3 linked regions of the Stegostoma tigrinum genome follow. The protein of the gene in region 1 purifies or fractionates together with the protein of each later gene. This does not show direct contact. Links are inferred from orthologs where the notes say so. Each region holds a gene or a part of one and is shown in the gene's direction. Other genes may lie near its edges.

What was found.
Region 2: the proteins of cdk6 (region 1) and cdc37 purify together in Homo sapiens (affinity purification with western blotting; 5 studies listed by BioGRID and IntAct, with this or other methods). This does not show direct contact. The link is inferred for Stegostoma tigrinum from reciprocal best matches to the Homo sapiens genes CDK6 and CDC37.
Region 3: the proteins of cdk6 (region 1) and hsp90ab1 purify together in Homo sapiens (co-immunoprecipitation; 4 studies listed by BioGRID and IntAct, with this or other methods). This does not show direct contact. The link is inferred for Stegostoma tigrinum from reciprocal best matches to the Homo sapiens genes CDK6 and HSP90AB1.

What each region holds. Positions count from the first base shown.
Region 1 is NC_081355.1:77,668,761-77,675,734, reverse strand, and holds the start of cdk6 (cyclin-dependent kinase 6), read left to right. Parts: upstream 1-3,955; 5' UTR 3,956-4,171; intron 4,172-4,506; exon of another isoform or gene 4,507-4,612; intron 4,613-5,100; exon of another isoform or gene 5,101-5,230; intron 5,231-5,907; exon of another isoform or gene 5,908-6,065; intron 6,066-6,247; 5' UTR 6,248-6,324; coding exon 6,325-6,554; intron 6,555-6,974. UniProt on the Homo sapiens protein: Serine/threonine-protein kinase involved in the control of the cell cycle and differentiation; promotes G1/S transition. Phosphorylates pRB/RB1 and NPM1.
Region 2 is NC_081388.1:22,687,551-22,695,607, forward strand, and holds the start of cdc37 (hsp90 co-chaperone Cdc37), read left to right. Parts: upstream 1-5,009; 5' UTR 5,010-5,100; coding exon 5,101-5,202; intron 5,203-8,057. UniProt on the Homo sapiens protein: Co-chaperone that binds to numerous kinases and promotes their interaction with the Hsp90 complex, resulting in stabilization and promotion of their activity. Inhibits HSP90AA1 ATPase activity.
Region 3 is NC_081357.1:1,517,805-1,525,294, forward strand, and holds the start of hsp90ab1 (heat shock protein HSP 90-beta), read left to right. Parts: upstream 1-4,442; 5' UTR 4,443-4,501; intron 4,502-7,210; 5' UTR 7,211-7,260; intron 7,261-7,490. UniProt on the Homo sapiens protein: Molecular chaperone that promotes the maturation, structural maintenance and proper regulation of specific target proteins involved for instance in cell cycle control and signal transduction. Undergoes a functional cycle linked to its ATPase activity.

The sequences.
Region 1 (6,974 bases):
GTGCCAAAGCACACTTAATACTGTGCAATAAAATGTGCATTTATAGTGGTGAATTTATGTAAGTTTCACTGATTAATAGAATTATTAATTATTAAAAACATTATTTGTTGTTTTCAATGCCAAAATTATAAATTTAAATTATACGTTCTACATTGTGTATTTCAACATTTTAATAAGATATCAATGGTTTATTTCATTATTCTTTGTGCTTTGGGTATATTACAGGAAATATGCAAAATGGAATTATTAGACGCCTCCACTATTTGACATCTCTGTAATACCAAAATCATGGATCGTGTAACGCATCACAAGTATACTCAAACATACACGTACTACTATTCTTTAATAAAGAAGCAACAGGCTTACATAAATTACTTCTTCAAAAGGCATCTTTCAAGACATAACATTTCCATTTATAGATGTAGTTATGACTTAACAAAATATTAATTATAGAAATCCAATTCAAAACTTGAGGAGAAAGCCTTTTCTAATATCTGCTGAGAAGAAGATCAACAGTGAAATCTGTTGAGTTAACAATCAGCAATGAAATCTGTTGAGTGAACAATGAACAGTGAAATCTGTTGAGTGAAAAATCAGCAATGAAATCTGTTGAGTGAACAATCAGCAGTGAAATCTGTTGAGTGACAAATCAGCAGTGAAATCTGTTTAGTGAACTATCAACACAAAAACACATAATTTATTCTCAATCCCTTAACAAATATGTTAAAAACCCAACAACGTCATAATATCAATTTAACTTTCCTACAGGGTTGAATGTATTTTTTAAATTTGATTTTTTTACCTAATTGTTAAGGATGAAAATAAAACAGTTCAAATTGATATGTGTACTCAAGGCTTGTTTCACAATTAAATTGCTTATCCTCACTGTACAATGGATTAAAATTCAATGTTTTTCAAACCAGTGCTTATTTACATCCTGGATCATTGGTCTCTGCAATAAAGTAACACCATCATCTGAAACCTTTACAGCCATGGTTAGACATATAAACTCTTAATCGCTATTCTAATGGAATTAACTGCAATCTGATCATTTCATGAAAAATGTTAAAACGAAGTAGATATTGTAAGTGTTGTTTCTTACAATGAAAAGAAAAAGTAGATTTACATCACTACATATGCTGTGAAGGCATTTTAAGATATATTCATAAATAATACTTACACATTATTTGCACTTCGGCTTTCTATGTTAGCTATGCAGTTCACACTATGTAGCTGTAATTTTTCAATGTATAGAGGATAGAAAGCACACCACAAAAGTTTGATGTTAGAAAGTACACTGAATTCAAGCAGACTACTAGATTGTTACTTTTAAAGACACAGATTTTGATTTCAAATGGTATCAGAGTGAACATTTTGCTTTCTTTGAAAATTGTAAAGCATTCTAATAGTAACAAAAAATTACAGTATTTTTGTAAGTTCCAAATCAATATATCAAACAATAAATTACCAGCATATTTCAGACTACAAAGAGTCATTAAGCTTATAAAACAGTTGAGTTGTAATGTCACTCTCACTTTCTATGTTTGCTATTTTAAAAATATTCTGCAAATATTTCTGTTATTACTCTAAAAGAGATTAAGCATCTAGTTAATTCAGTTCTGTAATAAGAATACACATCAATGCTTTCTTTCATACTTAGTCATAGATAGATAGTATACAGATTACATTTTTAATGTAATGTGTGTGAAGGTACAATTCCTTTCTCATGTTCCATTAATTTCAGAACTACTCCTTTTGTAGACAAGAGGTGAGTCATCTCTTGCCCTGCATTTAAGAACTGCATTGATATTCCTCAAAAATCAATTGCCTTGTTGTTGCTTTTCAAATGAAAGGTCAATTAAATGTTCAGTAATGTGAATAAACAACAGGTCATGTTTTGAAATGCCAAACAAAGAAAATATTAGGAATAAGCAGCACACAATAAAGTCTGTGTTGGAATATAGCTTCATAGTTTTGTTACATGTTGAATATGCTCAGGTTTTATTGAACAGATATGCTGATTTTATGACCATTGGTGTATTGTATTTCTCAATGTGCTTTCAAGCATCATTATTCAAGATATTTTCTAAGCTGTCATCATTTTTATTTTCAAATTTGAGTAGTTAATTTGCCACTTGCTCATTATAAAGTTTTTTAATTGAAAAGAAGTGACATTATTTTTCAAAATCTTTCAAAATCAAAAGATATTAACAACCTCCAACAAGAATCAATCATTAAAAAATTTAATCCCTATTTGTTATTCTATTTTACGTAAAGGATGAAACATAACACTATTAATTCTTAATGCTATTTTCCATAAAGATTATCATCTCTACTGATGCAAAAATTACTTTCCAAGTTGGATCAGTTTTAAAATGTATTTGTTTGTCAATACCAATTATATGAAATTTGTGTACAAATCTCTTTGAACTCTGCTCTTTGCCTCAGGGAACCTGTAAGGATCTTTGTGGGGTAAAAGGAGGTGTGGGGGAATGGGAGGAAAGGTCAGCTGCAACCACACAGGGACTACACTGTAACATAACTTTGGATTTGTCAGCATAGCTTTTAGATTAATCAAATTTGTTAAAGTACTTTTCACAATATCTATATCATACTGTAACCATATGTTAAAAAGGTATTGTAATTAACTGTGATTCTTTGCAATAAGCAGTATACTAATGTTTGACATTATAACTTTTTAAAAAATTGCGAACTACAAACACCACAACTCCTTTCAGAAATATCAAAAGTCTAAGACCTAAAAGAAAATAACATATTAATTTTATACATCTTTAAGGCTTTTAATTCTGATTATCAAATATTTTAGTTTATTTGATCATTTGGTTATCAAATATTTTATTTGAAATATAAATCAGCAGGTATAAATAACCTAACAATATTTTGGAGATTGGTTATACTTATGTTTGAGTGCAATAATGATGCTAATAAAAACATGAACATAAAAGCACGAAAATATGGGTTAGTTCTGGATTTTATAATACATGGCAATTGATACATGAGCTAATTTTGTATTTGTGTTAGGTAAATTTATTTACTAAATCATCAACACATAAACATTTTCTAAATGAATGAAACAGAAAGCTACATTTTAAGGAAATAATCATGTCTGTGAAACTTATTTTGAAATATGGTATATTGTTTGAAATATGTACATATACTATTTTGTAATATTAGACATTTGCTTTGGATTTTAATTGATTATTTTTTCAGTTAGTTACAAATTGCTAAAATAACATCAAAATCATTTTCTATAATTTCAAGTATTTAAAATCATTACTAACTTGCCTTTAGTGTTTTACAAATTAGGTTTTTTTCTGCATATTGCTACTGACTTGCACCTTTCATTTTCGTCCTCTCACTTTTCATTTTAACATCGTCGTAAACTGTAAAAGGGAAATATAGAGGACGACTTACCAAAACAAAAGCCTTTAGCCACAGGACTGTTTGGTAGCCCCAGTTGCCAACGCATCTTTTAAAAAAAAAGCGTAGATTTAGCTGATTTCTGAAGTGTAGATTATATTGAATATTTGCGACAACAGGGTCAGGCTGGAATCTTGTTTCAGATGTATACACATATAAATCATCATGACACATAAATGAGCAATCTTTGAAGGTTTTTTTTCGGAGAAATAAACCGATTCACGTTTCCTGGAATGGAGCAAGTTTTAAACAAGTTCTAGATTTTCAATGCAGGTATTGATGTTGTACCCCGCTCTGGCCCCACTTGATTAGTGCAGTTTGGCTTCAATAACCTTTAAGCTTTGAGTGCTCATGCAAATTGAGTAATCAACTGCAATGTTTGAATTCAGAAAAATGCTCAATGTTTCTTCCACGGTAGGCAAATCTACATTTTATGTATACGTATATATTAGTAGTGTACCGCTGGTATATTGAAACGTGATCTATTTCCCTTTAAGTATTGTGGGTAAAAGAGTTGCTGTGTGACAGACCCCTTCGGACGTGTTGGTTTGAAGAAAGTAAACGTTGTTTTGTAGGTTTAGCTCTGCCCTGTTTACTGATTATCCGCTAGCGTTTGAACTGGCCACTTTCACATCACTTTCGGGGGCAAGGGAACAAAATCCTACACATTTCAGATTAGTAGCTGGCAACGTTGGCAAGGGCAAATGAATTGGCAGTAACAGGATATGCGGTACGTATGCATCGTGAACTTTATATCACTTTTGATTGTTGTTGGCATAAGTCTGAACTCTGCAAGTTCACGAACAAGAGTGCTAATATGCCGTTCGATTGCAATACTTTTTGCAAGCTAAGGGAACAAAAGGGTCGGAATCCAGCGGGACATTAGCCAAGGGTTTAACTGGCTTAACTTCTCCAAAAGTTAACTGAGCTGAACCGTTAGCGTGATCCAGGAAGCAGGAATTGTTTTTTTTCTTTTTTTTAATGAGGAGAAAGTGTGTTGGTGGTTGGTGGCGAGGAGAGGCGAGGGGTGCGGGGGGGGGGGCGGGGGAGGAAGCTTATGTTGCGTTGTGTAGGCTTTAAGTTTCTCTTCCTTTCGGGTCTGCTGGAACTTGACAGTGAGAAACGAAAGGGACATTGAGCGGAGAGTGCAAGAGAGAGAGAGAGTGAATGAGTGAGTTGGGAAGAGAAAAAGGCCGGGCGGCATTTCGCCTTTGTTGTTTGAGGAATGCGGAAATGTTGATGCTCTGTGTCAACTGCTGAAGGGGGGTCACATTCAGGCGTCGTGGGAAAGAAAAGGCAGCAGCACTGCTCTCTCTTTCTTCGACAAGGGCTAGAGGAGAACGAAATCCTCAGGATAAAAAGAGAAAGAGGCGGGGGGGAGTGATGAAGTTGGTGGTGGAGACAGAAACTCTCCACCCCGGCTGCCTACAAGATACATGTATATATACTGCTCTGTTCGGCAACAAAAAAGTATATTTACTCGACGAGTTCTGCAGATTACATGGTCTGCGCCGACTTTTTTTTCGCTTTTGCGTCAATTGCAATCTGTCCTCCATACCCCCCACCCCAAATGACAGATTTCCTCGTTCACACGCCACAAAGTGTGCAGCATCTACCTGTGTGGCCGAGTCTTTAGCGATCAGGGCTGGCTGTCCCATTATGCTCTCGACTGTGGAAGCATTTTAAAAAAACCTTTTTTTAGATAAAAGTGCGGGGCTTGAGCTTCACCATAGCTGTAATAATCGAAGCTGCGTCCTGGCCGGTGCTCTCAATACATGCTTAGAATCAGGTATATTGTTTTAATTCAAGAAGACTTAGATTTTCGGCAGGGTATTATATATATATGTATAATATATATTTAAAGCTGCATGGTGTTTTCAACGTGGGGTCTTGTCTCATCAATATTCTGGATGACAAATGCAATGGGGCGGCCCATGCTTGCTGAGACATGTAGTGTTCCCCTGAGTTCAGCATTTGTCTTGTGCCACACAATCCCACAAGCAGCATTGCCAAAAACCCACCGACGGCTGGCACTAGGGAGCTGGCTGTCAGTCTCGGTGACAGATCGAGATTTGAGGTGGGTTGGTTGTGGGGGAAGGAGGTGAGGTGAAACGAAAGCCTCTCTTTATACCTGTTTATTTATACAGGAGCAGCGGAAAGGCTATCCGTTCGCAACCCCGTGGGTACAGTGGATGCGGGAGGAAAAAAATCCTGCGGGAATCTTTTGGGAATTACTAATTCCCACCCCACCCCCCACACGGTTAAAATTAAAGGCAAAGTGACTGACGGAAAATAAACTTCATTATGGGGGGGGTGAGGTGATCAAAGCTGCACCGGGGTAAATTGTTTGTTTAAGCTGGCGGCTCTCTGGCTGCCTGTTAGTTTGAACTATTTGTTTTGTACACAATCTTTTGCCAGTAGCACGTGTTGAAGGTGGTCGCTGTGCGCATGCTTTGGAAAGTTAGGATCCCGGTCGGCGGCTGCAGTGAGCGGGAGTGTGTGTGTTTGGATACCCGGGGCTGCAGCTGCTCTCCCTTTGCCGAGGGCCAGCTGCTCGCCCCTTTCCACTCATGTCTTCTCGCGGGGAACCGAGCTTTCGAGGCATCGCTGCAAAACTTTCAATGGTAGAGCGTCGTCCTCATGACTGGACACATTAACTTTCTGTCAACTCGGCTAACGTGTTGCTTCAACAAAAAAAAGAAACGCCCCATTAGCCAGCTGCCCATGCATTTTCACTTTACATCCCGCAAAAGTTTTCTTCAATATGCATTGTCATTATCAATCACTTGTTCTCTTCGCTTTCCAGATGTGACTGGCCCGACTGTACCCAAACTTGTTTCCGTCTATGTGTGAAGGGCAGCGCGGGGATCCGAACTCGGCGCCATGGAGGGGAAAGAGGCGAGTTTCTCCGACCGCTACGAACCGGTGGCCGAGATCGGGGAGGGGGCGTACGGTAAGGTTTACAAGGCCAGAGACAGGAACAACGAAGGTCGCTTCGTGGCTCTGAAGAAAGTGCGAGTTCAGACCGGGGAAGAAGGGATGCCTCTCTCCACCATCCGGGAGGTGGCTGTACTGAGGCAACTCGAGTCCTTCGAGCATCCCAACGTGGTCAGGTGAGGAGAGGGAGACACTGCCATTGAATTGGTGGGGAGGTGTAATTTCACCACAGTTCTGCACCCCCGCCCCCCCCCCTCCCCAGTGGCGCCGGGAAGCTCAATTTCCACGACCTATGTTTGGCCCCTGAGGAGGGGCGAGTGTAGTTTCAAGTCAGACCTTTGGCATGGATCATTTCTCAACCTGGGAGTTTACTGTGACCAACCTGGGATTTGTTTGTGAAAGGACCCCGAATTGTGAGAGATCTATATGTGAGTGCGCGCGCACACACACACACATGCTTTTCTGGAAAAGTTAGTGTGTCGTGTGATCAGTCAAGTGCGAAAACATCAAAAATGTTCACCAGTCCCACCCGCAGTAACACTGTGCTTCCTCTGGCAGACATTTAGTGAAATTATACCAATAAAACAAGCATTATC
Region 2 (8,057 bases), on another chromosome or scaffold:
TCCTATGAACCGGTTTTTGGGGTGGTCTGATCCTGTGGACTGGTTTTTAGGGGCGTGTCTGATCCTATGGACTTTTTTTTCGAGGGGGGGGTCTGATCCTACGGACTTTTTTGGGGGGAATTCTGATTGTATGGACTGGTTTGGGGGTGGGTCTGAGCCGATGGACTGGCTTTTTTTGGGGTGTCTGATCCTATTGTCTTTTGGGGGATTTTGATCCTATAGATTGTTTTTTTTAGAGGGACCTGATCCTAGGGATTGGTTTTAGGGGCTTCTGATCTTATTGACTGGGTTTTTTTGGGGTGGGTGTCTGATTCTATTGATTGTCTTTTCGAGGGGTTCTAATCCAATGGTTTTTTTTAGAGGGATCTGATCTTAGGGACAGGTTTTCGGGTGTTCCGATTCTATTGACTGGTATTTTTTGTGGGGCTTAATGTCAGATCCTATTGATTGTTTTTTGAGGGGATCTGATCCTCTTGACCGGTTCTGGGAGGGTCTTATGCTATGGACTGTTTTGGGGGGGGGGGGTGCGGGGCGGTCTGATCCTGTGGACTTTTTTGCGGGGGTTATATCCTCTGGACTGGTTTATGGGGAGAGTTTGATCCTAGGGACTGGTTTTGTGCGGGGAGGGTTCTGTCCTATGCACTGTTTTTGGGAGGGGGTCAGATCCAATTGACTGCTTTTGGGGGGGGGTATGATCCTAGTGACTGGTTTTTGTGGGGTCTGATCCTATGGACTTTTTTTGGCCGTCTGATCCGAATGACTGGGTTTTGAGGGGGGTTCTGATCCTATGGACCAATTTTTGGAGGGATCCGATCCAACTGACTGGTTTTGTGGGAGTTCTGATTCTCAGGAGAGGTTTTTGGGCGGAGTCTGACCCTATGGACTGGTTTTTAGGGGCGTGTCTGATCCTGTGGACTAGTCTGATTCTAGGTACTGGTCTTGGGGAGTTCTGATCTGAGGGAGTGGTTTTTGTGGGGGGAGAGTCTGATCTTGTGGACTGGCTTTTTGGGGTCGTGTCTGATGCTAGGGACTGGTTTTTGGGAGGGTGGTCTGATCCTAGGGACTGGTTTTTGTTGGGGGGCGGTGTGTCTGATCCTGTGGACTGGTTTTTGGGAGGGTGGTCTGATCCTAGGGACTGGTTTTTGTGGGGGGGGAGTATGTCTGATCCTGTGGACTGGTTTTTGGGAGGGTGGTCTGATCCTAGGGACTGGTTTTTGTGGGGGGGTGTGTCTGATCCTGTGGACTGGTTTTTGGGAGGGTGGTCTGATCCTAGGGACGGGTTTTTGTGAGGGGGGTTCTGGTCCAAGGGACTGGTTTTTGGGAGGGGGGTGTGTGAATCCGAGGGACTGGTTTTTATGAGGGGGATCTGATTCTGAAGGACTTGTTTTTGTCGGGGGTCTGATTCTGAGGGACTGGCTTTTGGGGATGGGGTGTCTGATCCTAGGGACTGGTTTTTGGGAGGGGGTCTGATCCTAGGGACTGGTTTTTAGGAGGGGGGTGTCTGATTCCGAGGGACTGGTTTTTGGAGGGGTCTGATCCGAGGAACTGGTTTTTGGGAGGGGGTGTCTGATCCTAGGGACTGGTTTTTGGGAGGGGTGTCTGATCCGAGGGACTGGTTTTTGGGAGGGAGGGGTCTGATCCGAGAGTCTGGTTTTTGGGAGGGGTGTCTGATCCGTGGGACTGGTTTTTGGGGGGCGTGGTCTGATCTGAGTGACTGGTTTTTGGGAAGGGGGTGTCTGATCCTAGGGACTGGTTTTTGGGAGGAGTGCCTGATCCTAGCGACTGGTTTTTGGAGGTGTTTGATTCCGATGACTAGTTTTTGAGGGGGGAGGTCTGATCCAGTGGTCTGGTTTCTGGGGGGTGTCTGATCCCACGGATAGATTTTTGGAGGTGTCTGATCCGAGGGACTGGTTTTTAGGGGGGGGGTGTCTGATCCAAGGGACTGGTTTTGGTGGGGGGGGGGGTGTCTGATTCTGAGGGACTGATTTTTCGGAGGAGTGTGTCTGATTCCGAGGGACTGGTTTTTGGTGGGTGTCTGATCCGAGGGACTGGTTTTTGGGAGGGGGGTCTGATCCTAGGGACTGGTTTTTGGAGGGGTCTGATCCTAGGGACTGGTTTTTGGGAGGGGGGGTCTGATCCGAGGGAATGGTTTTTGGCAGGGGTGTCTGATCCGTGGGACTGGTTTTTGGGGGTGGCGTCTAATCCTAGGGACTGCTTTTTGGGAGGGCGGTGTCTGATCCTAGGGACTGGTTTTTGGGAGGCGGGGTCTGATCCAAGGGACTGGTTTTTGGGAGGGGGGTTTGATCTGTGGGACTGGTTTTTGGGGGCGGGTCTGATCCTAGGGACTGGTTTTTGGGCGGGGGGTGTCTGATCTTAGGTACTGGTTTTTGGGATGGGGTGTCTGATTCCGAGGGACTGGTTTTTGGGAGGGGGTGTCTGATCCTAGGGACTGGTTTTTGGAGGTGTTTGATCTCGATGACTAGTTTTTGAGGGCGGGGGTCTGATCCTATGGTCTGGTTTCTGGGGGGAGTCTGATCCCACGGATAGATTTTTGGGGCTGTCTGATCCTTGGGACTGGTTTTTTTGGGGTGGTATAATCCTGTGGACTGGTTTTTGCGGTGGGTCTGATCCTAGGGACTCTTTTTTGGGTGGATCTGATCCTGTGGACTGGTTTTGGCGGGGGTGTTTACAATCCTAGTGACTGTTTTTTGTGGGGTCTGATTCTATGGACTTGTTTTTTTGGCCGTCTGATCCGAAGGACTGGGTTTTGAGGGGGTTCTGATCCTATGGACCAATTTTTGGAGGGATCAGATCAAATTGACTGGTTTTGGGGAGTTCTGATTCTCGGGACCGGGTTTTGGGGGGAGTCTGTCCCTATGGACTGGTTTTTAGGGGCGTGTCTGATTCTGTGGACTGGTCTGATTCATCATGGGCCTCCTGCACTGCCACAATGATGCCACCCAAAGGTTGCAGGAACAGCAACTCATATTCCGCCTGGGAACCCTGCAGCCATATGGTATCCATGTGGACTTCACCAGTTTCAAAATCTCCCCTTCCCCTACTGCATCCCTAAACCAGCCCAGTTCATCCCCTCCCCCCACTGCACCACACAACCAGCCCAGCTCTTCCCCCCCACCCACTGCATCCCAAAACCAGTCCAACCTGTCTCTGCCTCCCTAACCGGTTCTTCCTCTCACCCATCCCTTCCTCCCACCCCAAGCCGCACCCCCAGCTACCTACTAACCTCATCCCACCTCCTTGACCTGTCCGTCTTCCCTGGACTGACCTATCCCCTCCCTACCTCCCCACCTACACTCTCTCCACCTATCTTCTTTACTCTCCATCTTCGGTCCGCCTCCCCCTCTCTCCCTATTTATTCCAGTTCCCTCCCCCCATCCCCCTCTCTGATGAAGGGTCTAGGCCCGAAACGTCAGCTTTTGTGCTCCTGAGATGCTGCTTGGCCTGCTGTGTTCATCCAGCCTCACATTTTATTATCTTGGAATCTCCAGCATCTGCAGTTCCCATTATCTCTGATTCTAGGTACTGGTTTTGGGGTGTTCTGATCTGAGGGACTGGTTTTTGTGGGGGGAGTGTCTGATCGTGTGGACTGGGTTTTGGGGGGAAGGGTCCGATCCTAGGGACTGGTTTTTGGGAGGGGTGTCTGATCCAAGGGACTGGTTTTTGTGAGGGGGTGTCTGATCCTAGAGACTGGTTTTTGGGAGTGGGTGTCTGATCCTAGGGACTGGTTTTTGGGAGGGGGGGTCTGATCCGAGGGAATGGTTTTTGGCTGGGGTGTCTGATCCTAGGGACTGCTTTTTGGGAGGGGGGTGTCTGATCCTAGGGACTGGTTTTTGGGAGGAGTGTCTGATCCGAGGGACTGGTTTTTGGGAGGGGCGGTCTGATTCCGAGGGACTAGTTTTTGGGGTGGGGTTGTCTGATCCGTGGGACTGGTTTTTGGGGGGGTGCCTGATCCGAGGGACTGGTTTTTTGGGGGGTTGTCTGATCCGAGCGTATGGTTTAATGGGGCGGGGTCTGATCCAAGGGACTGGTTTTTGTCGGGGGGTGTCTGATTCAGAGGGACTCCGTGTTGGGAGGGGGTCTGATCGTAGGGACTGGGTTTTGGGGGGGTTGTCTGATCCGAGCGACTGGTTTTTGGGGGTGTGCCTGATCCTCGGGACTGGGTTTTGGAGGGGTGTCTTATCCGAGGGACTAGTTTTTGGAGGGGGTGTCTGATCCTAGGGACTGGTTGTAGGGAGGGGGTGTCTGACCCTTGGGACTGGATTTTGGGAGAGGTGTGTCTGATCCTTGGGACTGGCTTTTGGGAGGGGCTGTCTGACCCTTGGGACTGGATTTTGGGAGGGGTGTGTCTGATCCTAGGGACTGGTTTTTGGGGTGGATCTGATCCTGTGGACTGGTCTTTGGAGGTGTTTGATCCCGATGACTAGTTTTTGAGAGGGGGTCTGATCCTGTGGACTGGTTTTTTGGCGGGGGGGGGCTCTGTTCGTAGTGTCTGGTTTTTGGAGGGGGTATAAGCCTGTTGACTGGATTTTGGGCTGGGACTGATCCTGTGGACTGGTTTTTGGAGGTTTTTGAGGGGGGGGTCTGATCCTGTGGTCTGGTTTCTGGGGGGTGTCTGATCCCACGGATAGATTTTTGGGGGTGTCTGATCCTATGGACTGTTTTTGGAGTGGTCTATTCCTGTGGCCAGTTTTTGGGGTGGTCTAATTCCTGTACACTGGATGTTGGTAGGGGTTCCGATCCTGTGGATTGGTTTTTGGGGCGCGACTGATTTTAGGGACTGGATTTTGGGGCGGGATTGATTTTAGGGCGGGACTGATTTTTGGGGCCGGGGTCTGCTCCTGGGCCTGCTGTGTCCACCCAGCCCCACACTTTGTTATCTTGGGTTCTCCAGCATCTGCAGTTCCCATTATCTCTGATCCTCGGGACTGGTTTTGCCGTCCCGACAAGGGAGACGTTGACATCATGGAGCTGGGCGGTGACAGTCGGCGGAAGTGACGTGTGTCCGGAAGTGACGTGTAGAGAGGCGGCCCAGCGAGTGTTCTAGAAGCTGGGCCTGGGACAATTGGAGACGGGGAAACGATGGTGGATTATAGCGTGTGGGACCATATCGAGGTGTCGGATGATGAGGACGACACCCACCCGAACATTGACACGGCCAGCCTGTTCCGCTGGCGGCACCAGGTAAACTCCGGGGCCGGGCACCTCCATTCCCCCCACCACCAGGGCCGGCTTCCATCTATCCCGTCCCCATCACCTTCTTAAACCCCCGGGCCCTGATACACCCCCCATCCTCATCTCCTTCAAATAGTCCCGGATTGACCCCCCCGCCGCTTCGGTAGACTTCGTTCCCCTCTGTCCGACCTCCCAACAGCCTTCCCTCCAGCGGCGACGCCCCACAACCCCCACCACCACCACCAGCCCACCTCCAACCCCCCGACCACCACCTCCTCCCCCCACCACCTCGTCCACCACCCCCCACCACCACTTCCTCGTCCACCACCACCTCCTCGTCCACCCCCACCCTGCCCACACTCCTTTCATTACCTGAAATTCTTGATCCCTCCATTTAGATTTCCACAAGACCTTTGACAAGGTGTTGCACAGGTCTCTGAGTAGGATCCCATGGTGTTAGGGCACGGAAAGGGGATTGGCTCTCCAGGCAGAGTTGGGGGCTCAAGGGCCCTTTTTCAGGATGGCAGCCACTGACTAGTGGACTTCCTCACAGCTCAGTGTTGGGACCGCAGCTATTCATGTCATGCATTAACAAAGAAACTGATGGCATATTTGGTCTTTTTTTTTGTTTATTCATGCTTGGGATGAGATGGGATTTATTGCCCATCCTAATTGTCTAGACACCACTTATGAGTCAACCACATGACTCTGCGTCTCGAGCCACGTATAGATCAGACTGGCTAAGGATGCCAGTTCTTTTCCCTGAAGGACATCACTGAACCAGATGGGTTTTTCTGACACTTGACAATAGTTTCTTGATTTTCATTAGACTCTTAATTACAGATTTTTTTATTGAATTCAAATTCCACATCTACTGTGACAGGATTTAAACCTGGGTCTCCAAGACATTACTTGTGTTTCTGCATTAACAGTCCAGCAATAATACCGCATGGCCATAGTCTATGCTTTTGCACATGATATTAAGATCGATGGAGGCAGATAGTGTTGAGGAGGTGCTGAATCTACAGAAGGACCTGGACCGACTGGATGAGTGTGCACCAAAGTAGCTGGTGAAATGCAACACAAGGAAGAATAGAGAGTCAACTGTGACTTACTCTGCCTTTTTCACATGAGTTGGACGTCTTTAATTGTTAATCATCTGGTGTCACAATTTCCTAACAAGAATGATTTGAAATTGCGGTTTTGGGTTGCTAGCACAATATTTTCTAAATGTCCAAAGGCTTCGGAAATCTGAAGCACAAAGGGACTTGGGCATCCTAGTTCAGGATTCTGTTGACATGCAGGCTCATTTTACAGTTAGGAGGACATATTTGCTTTCGTTTCAAATGAATTGGAATACCAGAGTGCAGATGTGCTGTTGTGTTTGTATAAAGTTCTGGCAAGACCACATCTGGAGTATTGTGAGCAATTCTGGACTTCGTATCCACGGAAGGATGTATTGTCTTGGGAGGCAGTCCAGAGGTGACTGACAGGAGTGACCCCAGGGCTGATGGGCTTGTCGTATGAGCAATGGTTGAGGAGTCTGAGTCTGTACTACATGGATTTCAGAAGGATGAAGGGGGATTCTCATTGAAACTTGGAGAATGTTAAGAGGTCTGGATGGAATGGGTGTAGATAAGATGTTACCACGTAGCAAAGGTGAGGACCTGAGGCTCAAACTCAGAATGAAGGGATAACCCTTTAGAACTGAGACTGGGAAAAATTTCTTCAGCCAGAGGGTGGTGAATCTGTGTAACTTATTGTTGCTGAAAGCTGTTGAGACCTAGTCATTCTTTCTCTTTAAGACAGGTAGATTCTTGATCAGTGAGGGGATCAGGGAAGAAGGCAAGAGAGTGGTATTGAGACATTATCAGCCATGACTGAGTAGTGGAGCAGACACACTGTGCTGAATGGCCTAGTTCTGCTCCAATATCTTTTGCTGAGAGAAACTCTTTTTTTCTTTCTTGTCATTCTGTATTCCCATAAAAAGTTAACACCTTCTAGCATAGCTTGTGGAAGATCATACTGAATCCTGAAATATAACACTCGAATTGTATTGGTCAGCATGACTATTTCTTACTCTGCCTTTTAAAATCAGTTGGGACCATTTTAATAGTTAATTTTCTGGTGTCACAGTTTTTTAGAATGATGAAAATTGTGGTTTTTGGGTTCCTAGCAGAATATTGTAACTTTGTTAGCAGCATACTTTATTTTGTACTTGTTGTATTCTTTCCTCCACAATGTATGTTGAGCAGAAATCCCTCATTCGGCTTCAAAGTGAAGCTATAGATAAGTATGTAGGAATGGTTTGTTTTCTTGGTGTCAAGTCTTGTGTACATTTGTTCCAACTTGAGATGCTTGGTTTATTTAAATCTGGTGAGTCTGAGCGAATAGCTGGTTGAACAAAAGCTTCAGATATGGTGAGGTTGTTGAACACATTCATGTCATGCCGGAACTGATCTGATGTGATGAAGCTGAAAAACAATGACCTTGATGGAGTACAAGGACCATGTTGAACAATCGAATCACAGACTTCAGAAAGGAAGTCTCCTTCTCGTTAGCCTTTTCATTAGGGGGTCTGTTTCCAGACAAAACAGGTGCCACTCCTTTTAACCTTTGGGGAGAGGAGGCTGGAGAGTCTTGAATCTGGGACTTTGATCATTGTACAGCAATATTCACTGGCAAGGTGGCCATGTCACTGAACTAATAATCTAGAGCCCCAGGGTAATATTCTGGGGGCATGGTAGGTGAAGTTTTGAACTTTGGAATTAGAAAGCTAAACTAATAGTAACCATTGTACTGTCAATTGTTGTAAAAAACCCTCTAACTAGTCCTTTTCGAGGAGAAAGACCACTGTGTGACTC
Region 3 (7,490 bases), on another chromosome or scaffold:
GCACCACCATGCAACCACTAGCAGTTCATCCTCCCCTCCTCAAAATGTTTTGTAGTTGCTCTATGACAACATTGACCCTCACATCAGGGGTGCAACATTCTATCCTGGAGTCTCAATTGCAGTCACCAAACTAATTCTCTTACAATTGAATCCCCTATAATGATTACATTCCCACACTTTTTACTCTTCCACTATGCAGCAAAGTCAACCATGGTGCACCAAATTTAGCTATTTCTGCCATTCCCCTCAACAGTGTCCAAAGAGGTTTATCTGCTTTGCAGGGTATAGTCACAGGAGACTCCTGCACTGCCTGCCTGGTCCCTTTGATCTTCCTGATGGTGACCATTCTCTTCGTCCATGGTGTGACTGCCTCTCTGTACATATTATCCACAATGAAGAATACTGGGCTTCCAGGAGCTATAGATAGAGACACTTCTCGCACAAATGCTACCATTGACTGACTTCTCACATTGAGAAGAAAGGGCACTCTGTAGCTCTGATCTCTCCTGGCAGTAGTTAAATTGAACTTTTCGGAAGATGCTTAATATCAAATAATGTTAATTACTCTAGGGTTCTTATTCCTGGTCCTATATCACTATAGAATTTAGTCCTTACAAACTATAAGCCACAGACAACAAAAAAAAAATCAATTAAAGCACCTCCCCTCACCCCAGCACTGAATTCCCATTGTGCTCCAATATCCCAGAAATACACACGCACCGTCTATCTGGTAGTCTCTCACTGAGGATGTGTTCTCTCCCAACTGTACCTGCTACCCATGTCCCTCGAGATAGAAGTGGTCACGGGTTTGGTAGGTGCTAAGGAACCTTGGTGAATCCCTGCACAGCATCTTGTAGATGATCCACACTGCTGCTACTGAGTATTGGTGGTAAAGGGAGAGAAGAGGTGAGCTGCAGGAATCCTAACCCCTCACTTCAGCAATTAAGAATGCACAATATCCATCAACTGGGGGGGGGGGGGGGGGGGGGAATTAGCACAAATATCAATAATAATCATTCTAAATTATAACAAAAACAAGTAGGCAACTGTTGAAATTAAATTTGGATGTTAGCCGTCATATTGATATTTCCTTGTGAATCTTTCAGTGCTGACATCTAGATGGTGACAGACACAAGCAAGCAGTGGATGTTTGACAAAACAAAAGTTCGCTCAATTCCAATTGAAAAGTTGTTTTGCTCTCTGTACAGATGCTGGCAAATGTGATGAGATTCTACACTTTTGTTTGTACCTCAGCTCTCCAGCATCTCCTGCAGTGTTTTGCCTTTGTTTTACATCAGTGGAGTTTGCAGGCTCACATTCCAAGGGCCATAGATAGCTAGGCTGAATGAACCCTTTGGTCAAAACATTGAGAAAACTGTGCAACTTGCTTGTGTCTTGAAGGCACTGTGTGGTCAGTGAGCAGGAGCCATGGGGTATGGAGTGCAACTCAAAGCTGAGCTGCTGGGCCTTCGGTGATCGAAGACCTGAACATGGATTGGAGGAGATGCAAGATCTGGGTCTGGTAATGGATAGGGACTGGACATGGGCACAGATTGCAGGGGGAGCTCTGTCCCTGGCAATGTTGGGAGGGTTGTGGGGTAGGGCTGCAGGCTGAGCCTGGAGGCAGCTTTCACTCTCTCTGAAGGGCCGAGGGTTCCCTCTCTGGGAGGGGATCGGGGTCTCTCTTTCTCCATCCCCATCAGGACTGGGCTCAGGATCAATCTCCCTCACTCAGGTGGGCGGGTGGGGCATCAGATCTCTCCGTCTCTCTCTCAGGAGAAGCCATGGTCGTCTGTCTGTCTCTCTTTCTCTCTCTCTCTCTGGAAGAGGGGGATCAGGATTCCTCCATCTCTCTCTCTCTCTCTCTGGGAGAGGGGGATCAGGGTTTCTCACTGTCTCTCTCTGGGAGAGGGGTATCAGGGTTTCCTCTCTCTCACTCGGGGAGAGGGGAATCAGGGTTTCTCTCTCTCTCTCTCTGGGAGAGGGGGGTCAAGGTTTTTTTTTCTCTCTCTCTCTGGAAGAGGGGGGTCAGGATTTCTCCATCTCTCTCTCTCTCTCTGGGAGAGGGGGATCAGGGTTTCTCTCTCCGTCTCTCTCTGAGAAGGAGGGATCAGGGTTTCTCTCTCCCTCTCTGGGAGGGGGATCAGGAATTCTCTGTCTCTCAGAGAGGGGGATCAGGGTTTCTCCCTCTCTCTGGGAGAGGGGAATCAGGGTTTCCCGCTCTCTCTCTGGGAGAAGGGGATCAGGGTCTCTCACTCTCTGGGCTGGGAGAGGGGAATCAGGATTTCTCTCTCTCTCTCTGGGAGAAGGTGATCAGGGTCTCTCACTCTCTCTGGGAGAGGGAGATCAGGGTTTCTCACTCACTCTCTCTCTGGGAGAGGGGGATCAGGGTTTCTCTCTCACTCTCTCTCTGGGAGAGGGGGAGCAGGGTTTCTCTCTCCCTCTGGGAGGGGCGAATTAGGGTTTCTATCTCTCTCTGGGAGGGGGATCAGGGTTTCTCTCTCTCTCACTCTCTGGGTGGGGGAACAGGGTCGCTCTCTCTCGGGGAGAGGTGGATCAGGGTTTCTCTCTCTCTCTCTCTGGGAGAGGGGGATCAGGGTTTCTCTCGCTCTCTGGGAATGGGGATCAGGGTTTCTCTCTCTCTGGGAGAGGGGGATCAGGGTTTCTCTCTCTCTCTCTCTGGGAGAGAGGGATCAGGGTTTCTCTCTCTCTCTCTCTAGGAGAGGGGGATCAGGGTTTTTCTCTCTCTCTCTCTGGGAGAGGGGGATCAGGGTTTTTCTCTCTCTCTCTGGGAGAGGGGGATCAGGGTTTCTCTCTCTCTCTCTAGGAGAGGGGGATCAGGGTTTTTCTCTCTCTCTCTCTGGGAGAGGGGGATCAGGGTTTTTCTCTCTCTCTGGGAGAGGGGGATCAGGGTTTTTCTCTCTCTCTCTGGGAGAGGGGGATCAGGGTTTTTCTCTCTCTCTCTGGGAGAGAGGGATCAGGGTTTCTCTCTCTCTGGGAGAGGGGGATCAGGTTTCTATCACTCTCTGGGAGAGGGGAATCAGGGTTTCTCTCTCTCTCTCTCTCTCTCTCTGGGAGAGGGGGATCAGGGTTTGTCTCTCTCTCTCTCTGGGAGAGGGGGATCAGGGTTTCTCTCTCTCTCTGGGAGAGGGTGATCAGGGTTTTTCTCTCTCTCTCTGGGAGAGGGGGATCAGGGTCTCTCTCTCTCTCTGGGAGAGGGGGATCAGGGTTTCTATCAGTCTCTGGGAGAGGGGGATCAGGGTTTCTATCTCTCTCTCTGGGAGGGGGAACAGGGTTTGTCTCTCTCTCGTGGAGAGGGGGATCAGGGTTTTTCTCTCTCTCTCTGGGAGAGGGGGATCAGGGTTTCTCTCTCTCTTGTGGAGAGGGGGATCAGGGTTTCTATCAGTCTCTGGGAGAGGGGGATCAGGGTTTCTCTCTCTCTCTCTCTGGGAGAGAGGGATCAGGGTTTCTCTCTCTCTCTCTCTCTAGGAGAGGGGGATCAGGGTTTTTCTCTCTCTCTCTCTGGGAGAGGGGGATCAGGGTTTTTCTCTCTCTCTCTGGGAGAGGGGGATCAGGGTTTCTCTCTCTCTCTCTCTAGGAGAGGGGGATCAGGGTTTTTCTCTCTCTCTCTCTGGGAGAGGGGGATCAGGGTTTTTCTCTCTCTCTGGGAGAGGGGGATCAGGGTTTTTCTCTCTCTCTCTGGGAGAGGGGGATCAGGGTTTCTCTCTCTCTCTCTGGGAGAGGGGGATCAGGGTTTCTATCTCTCTCTCTGGGAGAGGGGGATCAGGGTTTCTCTCTCTCTCTCTGGGAGAGGGGGATCAGGGTTTCTCTCTCTCTGGGAGAGGGGGATCAGGGTTTCTCTCTCTCTCTCTCTGGGAGAGGGGGATCAGGGTTTTTCTCTCTCTCTCTCTGGGAGAGGGGGATCAGGGTTTCTCTCTCTCTCTCTCTCTGGGAGAGGGGGATCAGGGTTTCTCTCTCTCTCTGGGAGAGGGGGATCAGGGTTTCTCTCTCTCTCGTGGAGAGGGGGATCAGGGTTTCTCTCTCTCTCTGGGAGAGGGGGATCAGGGTTTCTCTCTCTCTCTCTCTCTCTGGGAGAGGGGGATCAGGGTCTCTCTCTCTCTCTGGGCGTCTTCCCGCCGCCATCACTTTTGCCTGCCGTCTCCTTGGTAACAAAGGCCCCGCCTTCCCCGCGACGTCCTTACGTCACCGCATAGAAAGTGCTGGAACAAACTGTGTAACCGCCCGCCCCCGCAGCATCTCCCTCCGCTCTAAGTAAATATCCCGCTGTTCCAGCCACCTTTCTGGGGCTTTGTGTGTCCCCCCCGGTTTGGTGTCGGGGACAGGGCCCTGTGCGGGTTGTGCTTGTGCAGTATAGGGAGGGCCACTTCCGGAGGTCCAGGTCTTACCGCCATAGCCCTCCACCGCGGATTGATCTGTTCATCCGCGTGGGCGGTCCGGGTGTGATCCGGTCAGGACCATCAGGCCTAGCGTCAGCTTCGGCATCGTGTCCGGTCACCGGTAAATCCTGTCAGAGAGAGAGAGAAACACGGTAATTATACCCGGTATCGTGTCCGGTCACCGGTAAATCCTGTCAGAGAGAGAGAGAGAAACACGGTAATTATACCCGGTATCGTGTCCGGTCACCGGTAAATCCTGTCAGAGAGAGAGAGAGAAACACGGTAATTACACCCGGTATCGTGTCCGGTCACCGGTAAATCCTGTCAGAGAGAGAAACACGGTAATTATACCCGGTATCGTGTCCGGTCACCGGTAAATCCTGTCAGAGAGAGAGAGAAACACGGTAATTATACCCGGTATCGTGTCCGGTCACCGGTAAATCCTGTCAGAGAGAGAGAGAGAAACACGGTAATTATACCCGGTATCGTGTCCGGTCACCGGTAAATCCTGTCAGAGAGAGAGAGAAACACGGTAATTATACCCGGTATCGTGTCCGGTCACCGGTAAATCCTGTCAGAGAGAGAGAGAAACACGGTAATTATACCCGGTATCGTGTCCGGTCACCGGTAAATCCTGTCAGAGAGAGAGAAACACGGTAATTATACCCGGTATCGTGTCCGGTCACCGGTAAATCCTGTCAGAGAGAGAGAAACACGGTAATTATACCCGGTATCGTGTCCGGTCACCGGTAAATCCTGTCAGAGAGAGAGAGAAACACGGTAATTATACCCGGTATCGTGTCCGGTCACCGGTAAATCCTGTCAGAGAGAGAGAGAAACACGGTAATTATACCCGGTATCGTGTCCGGTCACCGGTAAATCCTGTCAGAGAGAGAGAGAGAAACACGGTAATTATACCCGGTATCGTGTCCGGTCACCGGTAAATCCTGTCAGAGAGAGAGAGAGAAACACGGTAATTACACCCGGTATCGTGTCCGGTCACCGGTAAATCCTGTCAGAGAGAGAGAAACACGGTAATTATACCCGGTATCGTGTCCGGTCACCGGTAAATCCTGTCAGAGAGAGAGAGAGAAACACGGTAATTATACCCGGTATCGTGTCCGGTCACCGGTAAATCCTGTCAGAGAGAGAAACACGGTAATTATACCCGGTATCGTGTCCGGTCACCGGTAAATCCTGTCAGAGAGAGAGAGAAACACGGTAATTATACCCGGTATCGTGTCCGGTCACCGGTAAATCCTGTCAGAGAGAGAGAGAGAAACACGGTAATTATACCCGGTATCGTGTCCGGTCACCGGTAAATCCTGTCAGAGAGAGAGAGAAACACGGTAATTATACCCGGTATCGTGTCCGGTCACCGGTAAATCCTGTCAGAGAGAGAGAGAAACACGGTAATTATACCCGGTATCGTGTCCGGTCACCGGTAAATCCTGTCAGAGAGAGAGAAACACGGTAATTATACCCGGTATCGTGTCCGGTCACCGGTAAATCCTGTCAGAGAGAGAGAGAGAAACACGGTAATTATACCCGGTATCGTGTCCGGTCACCGGTAAATCCTGTCAGAGAGAGAGAGAGAAACACGGTAATTATACCCGGTATCGTGTCCGGTCACCGGTAAATCCTGTCAGAGAGAGAGAAACACGGTAATTATACCCGGTATCGTGTCCGGTCACCGGTAAATCCTGTCAGAGAGAGAGAGAGAAACACGGTAATTATACCCGGTATCGTGTCCGGTCACCGGTAAATCCTGTCAGAGAGAGAGAGAAACACGGTAATTATACCCGGTATCGTGTCCGGTCACCGGTAAATCCTGTCAGAGAGAGAAACACGGTAATTATACCCGGTATCGTGTCCGGTCACCGGTAAATCCTGTCAGAGAGAGAAACACGGTAATTATACCCGGTATCGTGTCCGGTCACCGGTAAATCCTGTCAGAGAGAGAGAGAAACACGGTAATTATACCCGGTATCGTGTCCGGTCACCGGTAAATCCTGTCAGAGAGAGAGAAACACGGTAATTATACCCGGTATCGTGTCCGGTCACCGGTAAATCCTGTCAGAGAGAGAGAGAGAAACACGGTAATTATACCCGGTATCGTGTCCGGTCACCGGTAAATCCTGTCAGAGAGAGAGAGAGAAACACGGTAATTATACCCGGTATCGTGTCCGGTCACCGGTAAATCCTGTCAGAGAGAGAGAGAAACACGGTAATTATACCCGGTATCGTGTCCGGTCACCGGTAAATCCTGTCAGAGAGAGAGAGAGAAACACGGTAATTATACCCGGTATCGTGTCCGGTCACCGGTAAATCCTGTCAGAGAGAGAGAGAGAAACACGGTAATTATACCCGGTATCGTGTCCGGTCACCGGTAAATCCTGTCAGAGAGAGAGAGAAACACGGTAATTATACCCGGTATCGTGTCCGGTCACCGGTAAATCCTGTCAGAGAGAGAGAGAAACACGGTAATTACACCTGGTATCGTGTCCGGTCACCGGTAAATCCTGTCAGAGAGAGAGAGAAACACGGTAATTATACCCGGTATCGTGTCCGGTCACCGGTAAATCCTGTCAGAGAGAGAGAAACACGGTAATTATACCCGGTATCGTGTCCGGTCACCGGTAAATCCTGTCAGAGAGAGAGAGAAACACGGTAATTATACCCGGTATCGTGTCCGGTCACCGGTAAATCCTGTCAGAGAGAGAGAGAAACACGGTAATTATACCCGGTATCGTGTCCGGTCACCGGTAAATCCTGTCAGAGAGAGAGAGAGAAACACGGTAATTACACCTGGTATCGTGTCCGGTCACCGGTAAATCCTGTCAGAGAGAGAGAGAGAAACACGGTAATTATACCCGGTATCGTGTCCGGTCACCGGTAAATCCTGTCAGAGAGAGAAACACGGTAATTATACCCGGTATCGTGTCCGGTCACCGGTAAATCCTGTCAGAGAGAGAGAGAAACACGGTAATTACACCCGGTATCGTGTCCGGTCACCGGTAAATCCTGTCAGAGAGAGAGAGAAACACGGTAATTATACCCGGTATCGTGTCCGGTCACCGGTAAATCCTGTCA